6 linked regions of the Kluyveromyces lactis genome follow. The main gene of each other region encodes a partner of the protein of the gene in region 6 in a complex. Links are inferred from orthologs where the notes say so. Each region holds a gene or a part of one and is shown on either strand. Other genes may lie near its edges.

Evidence for each region.
Region 1: the proteins of EMC1 (region 6) and EMC10 are in contact, whole or in part, in a cryo-EM structure (PDB 6WB9), measured with the Saccharomyces cerevisiae proteins. The link is inferred for Kluyveromyces lactis from reciprocal best matches to the Saccharomyces cerevisiae genes EMC1 and EMC10. Residues at the interface, in NP_009884.1 of Saccharomyces cerevisiae: His425, Phe427, Ile440, Glu442, Lys447, Thr449, Trp450, Lys451, Lys452, Ala453, Asn455, Glu458, Asn499, Glu501, His502, Ile513, Thr514, Gly515, Glu516, Ile517, Leu518, Thr520, Gln521, Glu522, His523, Lys524, Asp525, Pro551, Val552, Val558; in NP_010341.3 of Saccharomyces cerevisiae: Asp28, Glu63, Cys65, Pro77, Cys78, Phe79, Ser80, Tyr81, Met82, Lys83, Tyr90, Asp95, Asp97, Glu98, Asp99, Glu101, Lys103, Gln104, Val105, Ser106, Leu107, Ser108, Tyr109, Glu111, Arg121, Pro123, Glu124, Ala125, Gly126, Pro127.
Region 2: the proteins of EMC1 (region 6) and EMC2 are in contact, whole or in part, in a cryo-EM structure (PDB 6WB9), measured with the Saccharomyces cerevisiae proteins. The link is inferred for Kluyveromyces lactis from reciprocal best matches to the Saccharomyces cerevisiae genes EMC1 and EMC2. Residues at the interface, in NP_009884.1 of Saccharomyces cerevisiae: Ser749, Asn750, Leu753, Gln756, Trp757, Leu758, Ile759; in NP_012621.1 of Saccharomyces cerevisiae: Glu47, Gly48, Phe51, Phe52, Glu55, Leu77, Arg80, Leu81, Asn84, Ser85, Tyr86, Lys87, Met88, Asp122, Val124, Thr125.
Region 3: the proteins of EMC1 (region 6) and SOP4 are in contact, whole or in part, in a cryo-EM structure (PDB 6WB9), measured with the Saccharomyces cerevisiae proteins. The link is inferred for Kluyveromyces lactis from reciprocal best matches to the Saccharomyces cerevisiae genes EMC1 and SOP4. Residues at the interface, in NP_009884.1 of Saccharomyces cerevisiae: Val25, Phe26, Ser27, Asp28, Ala30, Phe81, Arg82, Asn83, Asp119, Trp120, Phe121, Leu122, Leu123, Glu125, Gly126, Val127, Glu500, Asp528, Phe529, Arg530, Phe531, Phe547, Ser549, Pro551, Val552, Pro553, Glu554, Ile599, Phe600, Pro601; in NP_012343.1 of Saccharomyces cerevisiae: Phe39, Val40, Ser41, Thr42, Arg43, Lys47, Tyr49, Ile51, Tyr58, Pro59, Thr61, Thr64, Met65, Phe66, Gln67, Asp68, Asp69, Glu74, Asn77, Val91, Tyr93, Ala95, Met97, Asn100, Arg105, Phe127, Gly128, Arg129, Glu130, Tyr131.
Region 4: the proteins of EMC1 (region 6) and EMC5 are in contact, whole or in part, in a cryo-EM structure (PDB 6WB9), measured with the Saccharomyces cerevisiae proteins. The link is inferred for Kluyveromyces lactis from reciprocal best matches to the Saccharomyces cerevisiae genes EMC1 and EMC5. Residues at the interface, in NP_009884.1 of Saccharomyces cerevisiae: Leu248, Ala251, Tyr252, Arg255, Leu256, Asn259, Arg262, Lys295, Asn693; in NP_012237.1 of Saccharomyces cerevisiae: His18, Ser19, Phe21, Ser22, Glu25, Leu32, Leu35, Lys47, Asp48, Ile49, Tyr51, Glu52.
Region 5: EMC1 (region 6) and EMC6 share a complex: the UniProt entries of both Saccharomyces cerevisiae proteins name them as parts of the ER membrane protein complex. The link is inferred for Kluyveromyces lactis from reciprocal best matches to the Saccharomyces cerevisiae genes EMC1 and EMC6.

What each region holds. Positions count from the first base shown.
Region 1 is NC_006041.1:1,123,033-1,126,038, forward strand, and holds EMC10 (Emc10p), read left to right. Parts: upstream 1-1,360; coding exon 1,361-1,933; downstream 1,934-3,006. Other genes in the region: YOS9 (Yos9p), read right to left, coding at 1-1,088; hydroxyacyl-thioester dehydratase HTD2, read left to right, coding at 2,541-3,006. UniProt on the Saccharomyces cerevisiae protein: Part of the endoplasmic reticulum membrane protein complex (EMC) that enables the energy-independent insertion into endoplasmic reticulum membranes of newly synthesized membrane proteins.
Region 2 is NC_006041.1:553,134-556,346, reverse strand, and holds EMC2 (Emc2p), read right to left. Parts: upstream 1,935-3,213; coding exon 1,074-1,934; downstream 1-1,073. Other genes in the region: TIP41 (Tip41p), read left to right, coding at 1-920; TIF5 (translation initiation factor eIF5), read left to right, coding at 2,465-3,213. UniProt on the Saccharomyces cerevisiae protein: Part of the endoplasmic reticulum membrane protein complex (EMC) that enables the energy-independent insertion into endoplasmic reticulum membranes of newly synthesized membrane proteins.
Region 3 is NC_006038.1:665,227-668,224, reverse strand, and holds SOP4 (Sop4p), read right to left. Parts: upstream 1,337-2,998; coding exon 632-1,336; downstream 1-631. Other genes in the region: BPH1 (Bph1p), read right to left, coding at 1-362; KLLA0_B07623g (40S ribosomal protein uS11), read left to right, coding at 2,267-2,276. UniProt on the Saccharomyces cerevisiae protein: Involved in the export of PMA1, possibly through the monitoring or assisting of PMA1 folding and acquisition of competence to enter vesicles.
Region 4 is NC_006042.1:2,570,784-2,573,720, forward strand, and holds EMC5 (Emc5p), read right to left. Parts: upstream 1,272-2,937; coding exon 861-1,271; downstream 1-860. Other genes in the region: anaphase promoting complex subunit CDC26, read left to right, coding at 372-713; cohesin subunit IRR1, read right to left, coding at 1,632-2,937. UniProt on the Saccharomyces cerevisiae protein: Part of the endoplasmic reticulum membrane protein complex (EMC) that enables the energy-independent insertion into endoplasmic reticulum membranes of newly synthesized membrane proteins.
Region 5 is NC_006042.1:1,426,797-1,429,619, reverse strand, and holds EMC6 (Emc6p), read right to left. Parts: upstream 1,213-2,823; coding exon 895-1,212; downstream 1-894. Other genes in the region: mRNA-binding protein PUF3, read left to right, coding at 1-497; HGH1 (Hgh1p), read left to right, coding at 1,623-2,783. UniProt on the Saccharomyces cerevisiae protein: Part of the endoplasmic reticulum membrane protein complex (EMC) that enables the energy-independent insertion into endoplasmic reticulum membranes of newly synthesized membrane proteins.
Region 6 is NC_006039.1:78,731-83,234, reverse strand, and holds EMC1 (Emc1p), read left to right. Parts: upstream 1-1,409; coding exon 1,410-3,584; downstream 3,585-4,504. Other genes in the region: MGR1 (Mgr1p), read left to right, coding at 1-1,076; peptidylprolyl isomerase family protein FPR2, read left to right, coding at 3,875-4,297; URC2 (Urc2p), read right to left, coding at 4,462-4,504. UniProt on the Saccharomyces cerevisiae protein: Part of the endoplasmic reticulum membrane protein complex (EMC) that enables the energy-independent insertion into endoplasmic reticulum membranes of newly synthesized membrane proteins.

The sequences.
Region 1 (3,006 bases), on a different chromosome or scaffold from region 6:
CCAATCGCTTCCGAGGCTGAATTCAATTCCAAGTCAATTAAAAATAGCAGATTTCCCGTTTCATCTACTACAGGCGCTCTCCATAGAAATAGATCACCAGGTTTGATCGATTTCCCGGTGGGTGATTGTATAAAGTCCGAACCAATCAATTTCTTAAGACTAGATATGAAGTCTCCAATAAACCTTTCTTCTACTGTGAGCTCAAAGAGGGTAGTTTGAGAATCCAGTGGTTCAGCAGCGTGATACATCAATTGACGCCTATCCTTCGCACTATTTTTAGGTTTTAATAGGTATATGCCATGATCAAGTACAGTAGCCGAATACCTGTTGAATATATCAAGGGCAGGACTCAATTTGCTGCCGCTTCTATGGCATATTATGTTGTGTTCAGATAATTGACCAAGCAACGGATTGAATGAGCTAAGTTCACATAACTGTGGTAGAAACAGTCTCAATTGGTACTTGCAGGATTGTATTTCTCTAACTTCAAGATGGAAAGGCCTCGATAGTGGACGTTTAGGGCAGATGTATTGTATTTCTACCTCTCTTGGTTTATGTGTAAGATCACAAGTGCAACCATCTACCAAAGTTTCGCTAAGATACACTCTACCAGTTTTACTCTTAGCAAAGTGATAATCAATAGTTGAGTTGTAGTTAGATGAGTTCCCTAAAAGGTACGTTTCGCCAAAATAACCTTTTTGCACAACAGTCCTCGTCTCACCAGAGGATATAATATAAGTCCAGTAAGAAATAGGCACTGTATTCATTTCAATAGGGTTTGGAGCCAAGATCGCATTAACCATGTTAACTGCTTCAATGAGAGCTCCTTCAGAATTAAAAGTATCTTCTTCATGATGTTGAATCAACGACGAAGTGTTCCTTTGGTAACACAAAACATCGGACCCTTCGTAGGGGCGGAAAAGCCGTCCTTCTTGGAGCAATGTCTCATTATCTATTACACTTAGGAACTCTTGCTCATCAACGTATTTTAGCGAATAAGGCGTAGAGCTATATGGATTGAATGCTGAGACACCTGAATAAATCCATGAGATAGCAAACACCACCGACGTAACTGGTAAAAATATCATATAAGGCGGCAGATACACTAGCTACAATCAACCTCTGACGAATTGACAACAATGCGCCAACAAATAATAGCTCCGTATATCATTTTTGTACTTTCCACTAAGTAAACTTAAACGTTTGTAATATAAGAATCCAATTAATCGAATTAATCCAATTTTAAACCTTAAACTGAATAAATGTAATAATAAAAAGGATGAATCTCACAGCATAGACTGGTGTTTCCATCATATAACACAGCGGAAAACTGGTTGGATTTATCTTCAAATAATTAGCTATGCTAAAAATGATTCAATTGTTACTAATACTTCTGTTTCACTTGCGTGCGGTAGTGGCATCTCTACAAGGTACTGGTGATCTTTACTTATTGAACAATTTGAATGAAAGGTACAGCCTGGCAACTTTCGAAGCTGGTGATGAGGTAGGTATTAACCTGGCTGTGACAGCCAATCGAATTACAGACGGTGAATATAAAGTTTGTGGGACTTTTCAAGATTATTACGATGAGTGTTTCTCTTTCATCCATATAAAGCAACCATTGTCATACGAACTGGAGCTGGTGGTACTTGATGATAAACTAGTTCGTATGTCGATTCATGCAGATGATAGTATTGATGGCATCGTACCACTGATAAAGGAGGTTGGAAATGGTCCCATACCGGAAAGTATCAAGTTGAAGAAAAGAACTCTGACTTACGAGGCAAAGAAAAAAGCTCAGAGAAAGGATACAGGGACCGCTGCATTTGAAGAAGATGTTGTAGAGAACAAAACGTTTCTTCAGAAAAACTGGAAGTACGTTGTCATAGGGCTACTCGCCTATGTCTTTTTATCCAGTGGATCACAGAAATAATTTCATGTTTTACCATCTTGCTACGTATATATACGTTCAAGAAGACAAAGAAATGACCAGACGACTGACTTTTATTGCTTGGATAGGATAGGAGTGGTTGAAACATTCAATTAACTCTACGAATACGAAATGTATTACAATTAGTGACATGGATTATTTTGATGAGCAATTTGCCTTGAGTTTATTAATTGAGTGCTCGATGGAAAGACTGAAGTGAAAGATTTACCAATGTTGGCTTTTTAAAAGGATCGAAACTAAGCAACTCCATTACTCACTTCTTATCAACAATCGATCATGCTTTTCTCATTTGCACTGTAACACTGTAGTTGCTGTTACGATAATTCACTTTGCACTTGACTTTCCAGTCAATTAGACTGCCAATCAGCTTCACGATATCATGCACAGTAGTGTTTACTACCAACTCGATAGAACTGTATCCCACTTCACATCTTATTTAATTTATTTACCTGTATATCGTCATAAACAAGTAATGAATGAATTTAAAACTGTTGGGCATTCAATCGTAAACCTCACATCAAACAGTATAGAAAAAAAAGGGAATCCTTAAAAGCCAACCATATCCACATAGCTGTTAGTTTTCGCGGCAATGCAGTGGCATATCAGTGATTACATCAATCCGGTGACGGTACAGAGGTATCAGACTTTGGTTACATCTATCTTGCCAAAAGCAAAAGTATCAAACGATATATCGCTTTCAGGTTCACATTTATTGTTCTTCCATCCAGTAACAGCTGCCCTCAGCGAAGACGGATACTACTCGTACCAGACTCCTGGTGCTATATTGAAACGTGAAGTGCCCTTTCGGCGTCGCATGTGGGTTCAGGGATCAATTGAGTTCAAGAAATCACTGACAGATGGCTGGTACAATTGTCAAGAAGAACTTAAATTCATCAAAGAACTGAACAAAGACCATTTCGTAGGGTTGAAGAGAACTATACGAGACGAAAAGGGGTACCTATATGTTAAAGAGTTAAGAACGTTGATATATACTAATCAAAAAGTCTCAGATAAAGTAATAACCAAGTCCGAAGATTACAGTACCCGAGAAATCA
Region 2 (3,213 bases), on a different chromosome or scaffold from region 6:
ATCATAAGCACACTCATACACACCCACATAGATCGAATAATCCGAATAATCCAAATTGTGGCCATTGCGGTACAGTCATTGTTCCATCCCCTGTAGCCACAATACCAGCGAAAGATGACCCATCTGTAAGTGTAGGTGATTGGACTATCACCACGACGAAGAGGCCTATTCTTTCTAGTGATGAGATCGACGATTGGACTGAGAAATTGAAGTTCCCAATCCCAGAAATGATTTTTGGTCATTCCAGCGTTGAATTGAAGAACACCAAGACTCATTGGTGCATACGATTCAATCCGTTCCATGCACTTAGTCAAGTAAAACTTGGGGATTCTGGGTTAAGAGTGTCATATTCCGAGAAATGGATCAATTCCAAACTTAAGAATAGTCAAGTGACAAACACAGAGGAAGGATTACAATTCGGAAAACATTGGGATTGGTCCTATACGACTTTATACAATGGGACTGTGTCAGAAGATAGTGAATACAAGTTTGTTGTGGATAACCAGTATCAGCTTCCAATAGAAAAATTAACAAGAAGAGATCCCATTTTATTCTATGATGATTTCATTCTATTTGAAGATGAATTGGCAGACAACGGTATCAGTATGCTTTCGATAAAACTTAGGGTAATGGCAGAGAGACTTCTTTTATTATGCAGATTCTTCCTAAGAGTCGATGAGGTCTTGTTTAAAATCATTGATACAAGAATATATGTCGAATTCAATGAGGACCTTGTTGTACGGGAATGGAAATATATGGAGGATGATTACAAGACAGTATTGAATAAATGTAGATTAAATTCAAACGATCCTAAGAAATCTTTGAGAGACAGCAACTGGGTTGCGTCTGTATTACCTTTGAAGGAGCGCGTATGTGAAGTATTGAGGAAAAAAGAAGATATAGAAGAAGTTGTCGAATAAGCACTCACCGCTACTGTCGAATTGACAGCACTTTTGGAAAATTCAAGAAAGAGTTGATTTGCTCATTCATGAATCTACCTATTTAATTATGTTACCCAAAAGGAATAATATACAAATCTCGTAATACATGTGATAATATTATATACACACTATTCAAGTTTCTGAATCCAAAAGGTATCTGGATACGTTAGTGATTTCTCTGTTATCATTATTTTGCTGAAGTTCTTGCAATTTTCTTACAGCTAATTGAGTTAATTCAGGTTTTTTATTCAGTTTCTGAGATGTCTTCAATACAATACCCCAACCTTTCACGTAGGCTTCTGCCAACTCAACAGATCTCAACGCATTTGATAAACTTGATTGCAAAGCAGCTTCAGGGTCAGAATCTGATTGAGACTTCAAGTAATGCAAATAAGCTAATTGACCAAATGCTTCATAACTGAACGGCACCCCAATTATGACTTCTTCCATGCAATATATTGCTTGACGTAGGTCCCCAGCCTCCTGGTATTCTTGCGAAAGTAACGACCATATTTCTGCATCTAGAGGAAACTTCTCAACCAGATCCAGTAGTTCTTTTACCCATTTTTCTTTACTCATCGAAGGTCTCTCTATCGCAAGTAGCCTTTTCTTCATCTGTACGTAGTCTTCTGAATCAGTAGCTATTTCCAGCTGATTCTTGATCAAATCCTCGATATATTTCTTAGCCGCATCATCGGATCGAGTGACCTGTATTAACATAGAGTGCATCACATGAATTCTTGGAGAATCGTCACCTAGACGATCTGTCACAGTTTTGTACAATGTTTCAGCCTCTGTGTCTTCACCACGAACAAGACAAAGATAAAACAATAATTCGACCATTGAGAAATAACTAATTTCGTCAAGCCCATTTAACCCAGCATCTATCAAAAGTTTCGTTTCCTTATAAGCCAAATCAATTTCTTTAGGTGGCAGAATGGCCCATGCGCCAGTCTTATGGATTGCCAGTAATTTGTTCTTAAGTAAATCCATGATATGAACAAAGTTAGATTTCGACCCTAAGATGTATGTGAGATTCGAGCACAATTTCAACACAGTAAATTACTCACTAAATTCCACGAGCAGTAATTGTATTGAAGGTATTCAAACATTTAACACCACCATACGTATCTCACCCATGTTATACCCTGTAATATGTCTCTTACAGAACCGATGCTTAAACAATCACAGAGCCAAATGAATCGTTGGAGCTAAAGCACGTGACACATGCTCCGTTTCGACATGTATTTTCATATCACCATAAACGACGAAAATTTTTCAGGAATCAAGGCCTCAGTATCTGATTGCCACACGCGAAGAGTTGAAGTTGAACTTCTAAGAGATGAGATGAACTTCTTCCATATACATGATTCAAGAAGGCGTTAATGACCCCGTTTTACAGTCCAATACAGGATCAGTTCGAACTTACTTTTAAAAGTTTTTGTGTTTTCCAGACTTGAAGAACGTCAAAGACACGGTGGTAGCAGAAACAAGTGACTAGAGATTAGTAACAGTAGCCGAAGATGTCAATCAATATTTGCAGAGACAACAATGACCCTTTCTACCGTTATAAAATGCCTCCAATTCAGGCTAAGATTGAAGGTAGAGGTAATGGTATCAAAACTGTTGTTATGAATACCATGGATGTTGCCCGTGCTTTAAACAGACCAGCTCCATACATCATCAAATATTTCGGGTTTGAATTGGGTGCCCAAACTGCTATCAATGTTGAAAATGATCGTTACATTGTCAATGGTGCTCATCAACCAGCCAAATTACAGGACGTATTGGATGGTTTCATCACTAAGTTTGTCCTTTGTGGATCCTGTAAGAATCCTGAAACTGAAATTGTTATCACTAAAGATGGTGATTTGGTTAGAGACTGTAAAGCTTGTGGTAAGAGAACCCCTATGGATTTGAGACATAAGTTGTCCTCGTTCGTCTTAAAGAACCCTCCTGACAGTATGAACGGTTCCAAGAAAAAGAAGAAGGCTGCCACTGCGTCTGCTAATGTCAGAGGTGGTGGTCTTTCTATTAGTGATATCGCTCAAGGTAAATCCCAAGCTGAAGCTGGTGACGATGCCGAAGAAAACGATTCCGATGATGATGAATTGGCCAGACAAATTAATGCCGCTGCCTCTAACTTGGCTACCATTGAAGTCAAGGATGAGGACTGGGCCGTTGATATGTCTGAAGAAGCCATCAGAGCTCGTGCGAAAGAATTACAAGGTGAAGCTGACAAAGAAACTGGCGAATTCTCCAAGTTGGAAGA
Region 3 (2,998 bases), on a different chromosome or scaffold from region 6:
AAGCGGGCTTTCACAAACGATTTCATGGCTGGATGTTTTGCAAAACTTTGTTTGTTCACTATTGAATTCTCAATGAGACATAATACTATATGCAAAGCGATAATGTAGCTCAATTCCGATGACTGATGAGATAAAAGCTTCTCCCACTTCGATGTGTCATCATATACAAAATTCAATTCCGTTGGCTCGATGTTATTAAACCTCTGGCTTATTTCAAACGTTGTGTATGTATATAGCTCATCTTTAGAGGCTGTATTTTCGTAAGAATTGCAAATATCACATAAAATAGATATCAGATCAGAATCATCCTCTGGAACCAAGTTAAGCACCTGAGCTAATAATGTAACGTACTCCTGGATCATTATATTACAAACGTCATTCCCTAGTATAATATTTTCTTAGCAGAAATTCAACTAATCTATAAGTGAGTGAACGTATTTTGGGTTTTTTTCGCCCTTACTATGATAAGTGTTTGTTCGTTTGTTTCTCAAGCTGTTTCCCTAATTTCTTAGCTGTTTATTTTTTTCATAGATAAAGTACAAAAACTAGGAAAGTGTGCAAAAGATGAATAAGATTTGCAAGATATTCGTAACTTATACAAGTGTAATACATACACCATTCAACGAAAAAGCTATTTTGAAACATATTTTGCGTTCTCTCTATGCATCTTCTCTTGTCTCATAGCTTTAGCAGTCTCAGGATCGAACTTCTCCAACAAAATAGGGAACAAAACTAAAAATATCACTGTCACGACGCCTGCTAGCTTGAATTTTGATCTTAAAACACTGGCAATGGGACCACTCTCGAGGATTCCAGGATTTCTTATCTTTATATATTTTCTGTATGGTTGTTTGTTCATCGTTGTTATTGTTAAACGGTTTGCAGAATCCAAGGGTAATGGATTCAAAGTTTCGGGATATGTAATATCTGGAGATGGGAAATACTCTCTGCCAAATCTGTTCTCAAAGGCGCTGAGGTTAGGTTCCTGATCTTGCCCGTTACCTACAATTTGTATCAGTATTCTGTTGGGTTTCAAATTGAATTCATTGGAATGCGAATGTAATGTGAAGTATGTCGTCCTATTGATACCAGTGTCAATGGGAACATCGCTGAAGGTGAATTCACCATTGATATTCTCCAATTTTGATGACTGTGAATATGAATCCCATTCCGAGTCATCATTGGGATTCCGTATCCTGTACAGGTTAAAATAGGTTCTCGATATATCATGTCTCGAAACGTTCCTAACTTTCAAATCTAGTCTGCCCTTAATATCGAATGCAGCACCTGGGTTTACGAACTGCCAAACTAGAAAGCAAAAAAGTACAAAATTCATCCCCGATTCTTTGGAGGAGTAAACTAATTGCCATACGTTAGTTCAGTCTCAGAGTATAGTGTTTTTACCGTTATCATTAACTTCTTTATGCGTCTTAGTTACCATTCGAGATTCATTTCCAGAAGAAAGAATAGTTACTAATATTATTACCCGGATTTATCTGACTTTTGAACTTTTTCATTTTGTTCGTTCAAGAAAATTTAGTATAAAAGATGAGAATAAGATGCATTATTATAAACAATACTATACAGTAAGTTGAGATACGTCCGTTTTGATCAGGTCATAAGAAAGCGTACATTCCTCAGAACAGGTATTATTGTAGTGGATTTGTGACTCTCCAGACAATATCTTCTCTACAACCTGGTTCGAGATTAAAGCTTTCAGTTTGAAAATGGCTGTCAATGTTTAATGGAGTGATCTATACTGCGAAAGATGTTTCCAACATTGTTCGTCTAGGACCAATTACTCATATGCATACAGCCCGACATCTCATTCCCTCCTTATCCATCTAGTAAACGTTCAATAGATGATATATACAGAAACTTGCGCCGTATAGTTTTCTCTTTCTCTCTTGTTGACATAGGTTCGCCAATCTAACAACCGTGGAGTTCTACAGTAATTTCGGGACTGTCTAATTTCTGAAACACCCAGACATTGTTGAAGAGGGATGGCTTTCATTACTTTTCGAATTTCATTTATGTTAAGAATTTCCTAATTTGTCAAGATAGAATGTGGAAAATGAATGGCAGACACATTTTTGCCAGATCGTAGGTTTCAATATCCAAAGGTCAGCTTCAATTTTTCATAGTAACAAATTGTCAATGATTTTAATGAATTTATCATTTATTACATGTATAAGCTTGGATATATCAACATTAACTTTATTATTGTTTAAGCTTAGACCTCAGAGACCAGAAAAACATATCAAGAATGGCTAACGGTACGTGCGAGGGGTGGTATCCCGTTTAAAACCCTTTAGTTGTTCTTCAAGAAAGGATGGATAAAAACCATTGGAAAAAGTATGGATTACTCTGATAAGTGTATTCGTGTGTGATTTTGCGGAGTCGTGTCGATGTTAGTTATCTGTAATGGATTGTAACGTTAACACTTTCTTCAATCTCAATAGTGCTATCTCAAACAGTATTTTAGTGATGATGCAACGACAAGAAGGAGGAAGTACCCAAGTTGAGTAGGTGTTTCACCACAGAATCTCAGGTATTTTTCCTTACAGTCAAAGCAGGAAGCTTACGTTTGTAAAAGTGCTTGCACGACTCTTTCAGCCTGTAACAGAATCAGATAAATATCCGGATAATTCGATGATAATGAGGACATTATCACAAATGGGATTGATATGGAGCACTGAATAAAGGAGATATTTCTCTAACATCAAGTGTTCTATTACCTGCTCACTGGAGTCTGGGGATCAAAGCTCCCGTTCTAGCTATTTTAGAAGCTCACTGATCAAAGCGGATATACGAACACCACACATGACTTATATGGCAGATATGCATTCATTCTTAAAGAAGACTAAAGGAAGGGAAATTTCAACATTTGGAAGAAGTGAAATGAGAAATACAACTGATATATGACATGTCACTCTTATCCTTCATTCTCAAAATGTTCATTCCGTAATACTTATGTTATTACAGTTTACTAACAACA
Region 4 (2,937 bases), on a different chromosome or scaffold from region 6:
CAACCTTGTGATTAAGAGTCACACGCGCTACCGATTGCGCCAACAAGGCTATGTAAATTTGTAGATTCTGACTCGCCGTATGGTCAACTACATTGTCCAAGTGTGATCATATATGCTCATTCCTTCCTTCCTTCCTTCTTTAAGTGATTTGGTAAAATGTTGTATCGAGTAAGAGATCTTAGAGTTGCATGTGCGTCATATTGTGTTAGATACGTTCATTTGTAATAGTATGTGAAGGTTTTGCTTTTCCTTTCGCATCATATTTCATCAACCGAATTTAATAACACAAAAGCAGTCAAGTTTCTTAAGATGTCAATTTATATAGCATAACGTAGAATTATAACATAGAATCGGCATAAATACCAACCATTATGCTAAGGCGTGATCCTACAGTTTTATCCTTGACTTCCGATGATATTTCCGAGCTACAAGAACATTTAGAAGAGTACAAGCTCCAACGCGAGATACAGACGCAACATCAAGATCTTTTGAAATCATCTGCAAAAATGAGTAGATTAGCAGAGATAGAAGGCATTTCTAACCCAAGTGCGACACGGAATGATATTTTATCACACTCATTGCATAAGATGACGCCACCTCAGCGATATAAACAGTCTGCATCATCAGATCCTCGATTCATTGAACAAAATAGTACACAGAGTACACAGGATCCTCCAAATCCCTTTTACACGTACAATCACAATGATAACTGACGTCCTAATGTGATTGGTGAAGTGCCTATATTGGCTATCGGCCCTGTATCTACTCCCGTTAGTTATTATTGCAAAGTCATTATATTATGTAATTCCCCAGTACATATTATATATATGTATGCGTTTAAGTTACCAATCTTTATCAACTCACAAACTGCGATGAAGGTATTCTTTGAACAGTTTCCTCTTAGCATGGATGTCAACAAATGAAGGAAGGTAGTTTATTTCCCCATAAGGATCATTGTTTATCACTACATCTGTACTGGACGCCTTGTTCAATTCGATAGGTTTAAGATACTCATCTGTCTCAATTATTCGTTCCTCCCCACGAATACTAAGGTACTTAAGCTTGGATTGACTGATAAATGTACCCAAAATAAAGAATAATAACCCGCATAGTGCCTCCAATTTTACGTCATCTGGTAAACCTGGAGTTTTAGCGTCTGGGTTCTCTAGAATGATATGTTTCACAATCTGATGAAATTCATAGCTGGACACACCAGAATGAATAATCTGTATCCACGCTATAAAGTAGAATGATTTGGAAAGTATTGACATTGTTGATTCCAAGATAAAACGGTGAATAGTAGTATTTAAGTAAAGTAACAAAGCCTATTTATGTTAGATCTGTCCAGTTGAACCTTATACTACCTATATTTTGTTTGGTATTCTTGAATAACCTTTCCGTTTTTTTTTTTTTCTGAGTGTTATAGAGTTTCCGACAAGAGAAACTATCTAGGTAAAAAAGAGAGATAGCATGCAGTACTGACACACAGCCGCATGATTGAGGAGAGCTTAGGTTATCGATAGCCATGTAATAGGTTTTATGTATTATGTTTAACACAATTCACCAAAAAAAAAAATAAACTGATTTAAATGCACTCGCAGGAATTTCATTTCGTAGGATCCCCAATAAGATTAGATTGGTGATGAAACAATGGGGTCTGCAGGGTGCGGAGGCGAATGAACTGTTTCATCCTGAGTGAATTCCTCAATTGGTTCAAGAACTTCATCATATTGTTGGGGTACTGGTTCTTGGTTTAATTTGGCTGCAGGATGGCTCTCAGCGTTATTTTTCGGTTCATCTTCGAAAACCGTTTCGCTTACTACACTCTCAAATAATGGCCCTAATTTCTCTTGGTTTAACCCAATTCTTGTAGTTAAATCGCTATAGTTTAGAATTCCAAGTTTGATGAGGCCTTTCAATTTAATGGTATAGATACAAAGCTCCTTCTCTGGATCTCCATCAACATCGACTAAGTTGACAGCGCCATAATTTACATCTTCATCAGCCACTCGATCTAGAGTTATTCCCAAAAATTTTCCAAGACAACTCTCAAGGTAGAGGAAAACTTTGTGGCAAATACCAGTTAGATCTTCGTTAGAGATAACTGAATATTCTTGCCTTAACGCCCTTATCCAATCGGAATCCTTTTCTGACAAATCGAGCTCAAACATTTTGAATGCAATGATAATATCTAACAATGGAGAGAGTATTACATGAAGCACATGGAATTTCTTGTCGTGTTGTATTTCAGGGTTAGAATCGATCTTTGAAGAAAGATTCAGCAATTCGACTAATACCGTTCTAATTTGATTCAGCGTAGTATGTGAAACAGCTATAGGTTCTTCATTATTTTTGATAACATCTCTCCAAGTTGCTAAATTCCAAGTAACTATTGAGGTGAAAAGCTTAAAATCTAGGACAGATATGGCATCCGAATCAATCTTTGGTAGTAATTCACTCAACGGCTTCAAGAATTTTTCAACAATGTCATCCAAAAGCGTTTCTGAAATTTCAATTGCGAACTCCTTACCCAAAATTACAAGTTTGTTAACATATTGCAGATATAATGTTGTTATTGAATTATCAGATTTTATGTCAAATGATTCCATAAACTTCTTGAATGATAATGTCACGTTAATCAGACATGACTTCCAATAACCAGTTACCTCTGGTATTTGAAGGGATGCCAAATATGGAATTAAACTCTTATAGGTTTTAGTAATGGCATTTGCGTTGCTCAAAACCACTGGAGAGCTTTCAAATCGTTTTGTTATTGTTTTATTGATATTAAAAATGACATCCTTTGATTCACTGGAATTCCATTCTTCTGTGTTTAATAGCTGTATTACATTTAGTAGTTGAGTATATATCTGATCAGAATCAAGATTCATTTTCTTGAAAAGATCTTCTAACTCTGGAAGAATTAACTGTGTCACG
Region 5 (2,823 bases), on a different chromosome or scaffold from region 6:
TGAATGACTTGGATGAATTCATCCCATTCTTGATCCAGGATCAATACGGTAACTACGTAATTCAGCATATTTTACAGCATGGAACTGAAGATACGAGCAGTCACATAGGAATGAGTAAACAAAATATCATCGATATCATTCGTAAGAATGTTGTTGAATATTCAAAACACAAATTTGCCTCCAATGTTGTTGAAAAGTCAGTAGTTTACGGATCCAAAAACCAGATAAGACAGATTTTGGATCAAATTCTACCAAGAGACGAAGAGCACGCCGCTGATTTGGAAGATAATGCACCATTGATTCTAATGATGCGGGATCAATACGCGAACTACGTTGTTCAAAAGCTCGTGGGTGTCGCAACTGGTGAAGATGAGAGGTTGATTGTTATTTCCATCAGATCCTATTTGGATAAATCCAATAAAAATAACACTTTGGGTAACAGGCATTTGGCTAGTGTTGAAAAGTTAGCAACTTTGGTGGAAAAAATTCAGATATAGATGTATGTCAGCCTCAACTTGGGAAAGCAAGACAAAAAAAATTGTTCTGCCTCGAATATTTGCATTTGATAACCACGCTTTCTTTCCCTAATAACTGGTTCACTTTCTAAATCATTCTATTGATGAAGATTGCCATTTCTTACGTTTTGTATCCCCGTGATATCTCTCACGAAGATCTTAATATCTTCTAAAATCTGTTGTTGAGAACAGATTACTACCTAATAAATTAATATCCTTTAAATGTACATATTGTTTATCATCATCCTGTTTATAATACATGCAAATATTTATCTCTGCTATAAGTTTTAATGACCATAATATTATAGTACTTCTAGAATCCTAATGGTGATATCGTTCAGATGAAATCAACCCGTTAATGCAAAATGTGTCATATGCGTTACCTGACCAAAGTGAACGCTAACGTCCAAGTCATGACAAACCCAGCTAGCTCGCGGAATAGATTTTTAACCCATATTTTATGCACTGGATTAGTAAAATATAGACTAGGCTTGAATTTGCAAAACCACGCTATAAATATGAGGTTCACCAGGATATAAACAGCAAAAAACATTCCAAAACCTGCAAAAGATTGAAGTTGCAATATCCCAGCACTAAGTCCTGCTGTCAGCATTGTAGAATCCTGTATCCGTAGTAGTTTGTTGTTGTTGAAACTTCCACTTTTGGAAGACTTTAGGTCGGTGAAGCGATAACTCATTTTCCAATGCTGTTATCTCGTAGTTATGATTGCAATTGGTTGCAATAAGCCAAGACTAGAATAAAAGTGATTTATTATGATAAATGCAGCACTTAAGGATCAATCGAATCGCAGATTGAAAAGCTCTGTTTCTAACGGTGGTTCTATTCATTTAATTGAAGATGGAGATCTGTTATTGTCGGTTTGATGCTGATGTAATTGTTACCCGCCTTAAAGAGTCGAACCTTTTCTTTCACGAAACTTGAGAAACGTTTGACAAACTCATCGCAGCTCATCGCATCAACCATATCTACGTTGGCAGTTGGTGTAACTAGGTATTGTTCACCAGCTAATCAACTATAACTTTCATTGTTCAATAAAACATCTTTGTTCGAAATATCTGCGTTTACTTGATACGATAAAGAGGGAAGATGTCCACGGAATTAGAAGAATTAGTGTCATTTTTGCATTCAGACCAGCCTGCCGTCAGACAGATTGCTCTTGATAATCTGGTTGGCTTCTCAACTGGAGCAAGTGCTGTCATTTTCAAATGTAATAATTACAAAGCTATAGAGGATCTAAAAGTTCTAGCTAAAGATAAGTCAAAAGTTATCGTTCAACAATCCACTACGATTTTAGCGAATTTATGTGATGATGTTACTATGAGAAAGTTGATCGTCAAGGATACTGAATTCCTACAGTACTTATCGTGGAAAATCTGTGATTTAGCTAACGCAAGTGCGGATATCATGTGTATTTTATTGTCTAATCTCGCCAAGGAAGACAATATTACCGAATTGTTTTCGTTTGTTAAGAAGGAAGACGATGGTATTCCATTAAACATAGAAGTCTTTAAAAGCAACAAAGTAATGGATTGCTTAATGGATTGTTTTGTGAAGGGTTACGATAGAAAGTTGAACAGATATGCCACTTATGACTACTTAGCTTATTTCTTTGCCGACATTTCGAGATTTAAGATTGGTAGAGAGTATTTCATTGAACAGCAGGAGTATGACGGCGTCATCCCAATTTCTAAACTATTGGTATTCACTGAAAAGTATGATGCTAAAACCAGAAGAGAAGGTGTGGCTTATACCATCAAGAATTCGTTATTTGATTCCGAAAAGCATGAAAACCTTTTGACTAATGAGGAAATCAATCTTTTACCTTATATTCTTCTACCGATTGCATCAGCTAAAGACTCCGAAATTGATGAAGAAGATATGTTCAATCTACCGGATGAATTGCAACTCTTACCTGCCGACAAAGAGAGAGATCCTATTCCTGAAATCATATGTGTGCATTTAGAAAGTATTTTATTGCTTTGTACCACTAAAGCCGGCAGAGAATACTTAAGATCGAAATCAGTATACCCATTGGTCAGAGAGTTACATAAAAATATTGGAAATGACGATATCGGTGAATTATCTCATAGAATTGTTAACATGTTGATGAGAGGTGAGCCGGAGAATCAAGTGATAGAAGAAATCGTGGCCAAATCTGCGGAAGATGGCGAAATAGCCGAGATAGAAGAAGAAGAAGAAGAAGAAGAGTCCGACGATGATGACGATGCTATCGTCGAAGTTTTATAAATGATAACTTCCTATAGATATCTTGTTTTCAAATAACATA
Region 6 (4,504 bases):
GACCAAGTCTGGGATTGAAACTATGGGGACCATTAGTGCCTAGTTCGGATAACACAACAGGATTGTGGTCATTAGTTGCAATTCAAACAGGACTTGGGTTATTTCTAATGCAAAGGTTTAGAAAATTGGGAAAGAAATGGGTGAAACGAGATATTGCCGATTTTCCTAGTTTGAATAGATTCAGTACCACACACGGTGATATGTACATGACTAGACATATTCCTGTTCAATTCGGGGGAACACATTCTTTCAATATTCGAGTTGGTACACGTACCGGTTTTTGGTATTCAGAGAGATTTAGAACTATTAGACGTGTTACTTATTTATTAGCGGGGACTCTAATACTCTCGCAGTCTATGTTAGAGGTTTCAAGATTGACCCTTCTCAAATACGATCCCTGGGTAGAAGAAGCAAAATCAGTTCGTGAAAAGCAGTTTTTCAATGACATCGTCAAATACTATCACGAGGGAGTTGATTCAACGAAATTCAAGGCCAAGGATGAATTATCAGGACAGTCAATTTCCCTTAACTTACCAGAGGTGAAGCAAAGTATCGCCGTAGCGAGAGCACAAGCGCAGGCCGAGAATTTGGTAACTAAATGGTTCGGACCGTTGGATTATAAACCACAGTCATTCTCTGAATTCTTAGACAAACTAGAATACTACCTGAATATGACTGATTTTCTCAACAATCTCAGACGTCAAAAGAAGAACGATAAGATAAATTCTCAATTGGTAAAATTAGAAGAAGAAAACAAGCGCAATAGACAGAGAATACATACATTGATGGCTCATGCTCCGGCACGGGCTATCAGAACAAATCAAGAAGTGCAGGACATATATGCAATTAGAAAAGTTCTCTTGCATCATGATACAGAATCACCAAATGATATCCCACTAACTGAAATATGGGCTATTTACAATCCTTGGACAAATTTAGCATTAGACACCGCATTAAGCATTAAGTTCTTTCCTTCGGTCATTTTTAATGAAGACTATTATGAACACCAGAAAAGACTCAAAGATTCAGAGCATGTTACTTCCATAGAGAATAGCGAAGATGAGAGAAAGCCATAATTGAATATCATACACGTTTGTATTACACTAACAGAAAAAATAACTGACTCAATTCATGATTTCAAACTGTATATAAGAATCGTTGTACAAATTTAATCGATATATAGCTATATCGAGACTCTCATACTGCCTTTTTTTTGTTTCCTTGTTTGTGTTACGAAAGCTACGACATATTTCCCACTGTAGTAACCATTTTTTACTACGATTATTATTATTATTTCAAAGAAACCAACAATAGCCTTCGAATAAAATAAGCCTAAACTAGTGTCCAAGTAAAGAATTAGTTAAAGTTTATACACTGGACCTTCGATCTTGCCATAACGGAATCAAATCATGTTAACCCTTATATTTACGTTGTGGGTACTTCTGCTTAAATCCACAGGGGCTGTATTTAATGATGAAGCGTTTCACGTGGATTGGCAAATCGAAAACCTAGGTGATATCAAATGTATTGACAAATCAGACTCGTCATTCGTGGTCTTAGGGGAGACTCCCACTGGCATCCCTGTAATTTCACTTTTGGATGCGGCTTCAGGAAATATAGTTGAAAGGTTCGTTCAGGATGCCTCTGTTGCTGCCATGAAAGTTGTGGATGGAAATATACACTTGAATACTGGTCAAGTTTTGGATAGTTTGACAGGTTTCCCTAAGTCAACTCATTCAGGCCAAGTTGAATGTCGGAAACTAGACATTCAATCTGTTACCTTGAATAACAATACACTGCGTTTTAATATTTCCTCTTCAGAGGGGGATGTGGTAGTCAAAATTCCAGAGACCTTCAGAAAGATAGAATACTTTGGCCTGAGCAGTGATAGCACAGTAGCGGAAGTATTGATATCTACAACTAATAAAGAATATTATTACACTAGATACGAAAATCATTCCCTGACTGCCCACTGGGAAAGAAATGAGGGCTACTCTGATATTATCGCATATACTGTCCTTGATGAAACAAATCATAATTTAGACTTTGTTAGGGATGAACTGCTCCACGAACAGCAATTGAGCCTAATTGACGCATATAAGTTCCGTGTTCAAAGTAATTGGGAAAGACTAAAGTCGTATCTTATCCGTAAAAGATTTAATCTGGGCAGAATGTTTGCCGATTTGATAACTGAAGATGATTCTTCAGCACTGCGAGATCTAAACGTACGATTTGGTTTTGCAAAGCAGCTTGTCGTCGCTTCTAAGTCAGGAATTATAACATCTCTGGACATCATCTCTGGAAAGAAATTGTGGAGTCTGCAGTCAAATTTGAAGGACATTTTGAAATTGCGCCTGAGGAGTGAAAACGAGCTTTCGATTGTTACGCGTTCTAGTATTTATTCTGTTAATCTCTTAGAGCAACCGCTCGGATTGACACCCGAAAATAAGGCTCCCGACGGTTTTCAATTTGATGCGAACAGTGAATCACCTATTATCAAACTAGTTAATGTCAAAAACAGTTCTTTCAAGATATTCAACGCTTCCCACATTGGAAATACTAATATTAGTTTCGTCCATTTTGAAGAGCAGAAAGTAACAGGGTATGCCCTTCAGGGGGATGCCCTCTTACCGACCTATCAGAGAAACGTAGGGGGGAATGAACGTATTGTTGGTCATGCTGTCAGAGATAAAGGCCACGTTCCAGGTTTAGGTGCAATCCTAGGAAACAGAACTGTATTATACAAGTACCTCAATCCTAATATTGGAGGCTATTTGATGGGCAATTCTGTAGAGAATTCCTTGTTACTAGAAATATTTGACACGGTTACTGGCCAGACTCTTTACACTGTTAAGCATGAGGAGTTTGTGGACTTAACCTTGCCAGTAAACCTTGTGATAGGAGAACACTGGTGCATATACAGTTATTTCAGTTCAGCTCCAATACCGGAACAAAAGCTTGTAGTCGTTGAGTTTTACGAATCGCTGGTTCCTGATGAAAGGAGATCCCTTCCAGGGAGCTTAGTGAACCCGCTAGACGATATTGTGAAACCGGCAACGATTAGCAACGCATATTACTTCCCTCAGATCATACATTCACTTGCATTATCCAAAACTAAATTTGGAATTACTACGAAAGCTATACTTTTACAATTAGATGATGGGTCCATTACATATCTCCCCAAATATGTTGTCAACGCAAGAAGAAAACCAGAGTCTGATATGACAAAGAAAGACAAAGAGGAATTCATGGCTTCTGTTTATGAACCCACCATACCAATTAATGATTTTTCAGTGGTTAGTCATCTTAGACAGATTCTTCCTTCAGATAAATCGAAATTAATATCAGTTCCGACGAACTTGGAATCCACTAGTATAATATGCTCCATCGGTAATGACATCTTCTGCACAAGGGTTTCACCATCTTCTCAGTTTGACAAACTTGGAGCAAGCTTTGAAAAGAGTAAGGTTCTTTTCACCATTATGGGCTTATTCATCTTATGCTACATCCTCAGACCCATGGTGGACCAGCGCAAGTTGAAAGTGAAATGGTTGGTCAAAGACCTTGATATTACATCTATTTGAATACATGTATAATTCTAAAATATCTGAAAGTTGCATTTGCATCGCATTTTATATGTATTTAATCTTTTGTTTGTCACCTTCAAAAGTTAAAGGCAGACCCTATTTTCAATTAATCTTTTTATTGAATGGCTAATCTCACATATTATTTTTATATCTAAATAGAAAAGTGAATGTACTTCTTGATCCAATTATAACAATAGATCAGTCTTGGGTTGGGAAAGAAGCCATGAGCTTCGATTTTCTAAAAGTTCTACATCAAATAGATCACTATAATTGACTAAACTTTCGAAATGAAGTTCACTACTGGCCTTTCTGTTTTATTGTTCTTTGTATTGCAAGTTTTTGCAGAAAAGTTGACCGAATTAGTTGTTGGAGTGACCAAGGAGCCTGTTGATTGTAAGATCAAGGCATCTAAGGGTGATGTTGTCTCTGTGCACTACACTGGTAAATTGAGGGACTCTGGTGAGATTTTTGACTCATCGTATAATAGGGGAGTACCAATTCAATTTAAGTTGGGTTACAGTCAAGTTATTAGTGGATGGGATCAAGGTATTTTAGGAATGTGCATCGGTGAGGGCCGTACCTTACATATTCCAAGTGAATTAGGGTACGGTTCTCGTGGTGCTGGAAGCGTAATCCCACCAGATGCAGACTTAATTTTCGAAACCGAACTTGTTGATATTCAAAGAGAAGCTGTTGACGATGAGTTATAGTAACGGATGTAAGAATCCTATGACTGGTACCATTTACTCCTATTAGATATATCGTCTATGTTTCAAAGCTCATATTATCTTTAGTACTATTAATAAATATCTAATTAGATGCAAATTCGGAAAGACGCAGTTACTCCGAATAACTACTTCGATACAAATGTAGATCATATATCCGAAAACAGATGTTGTGCAGTCGGTTGCAAGTTT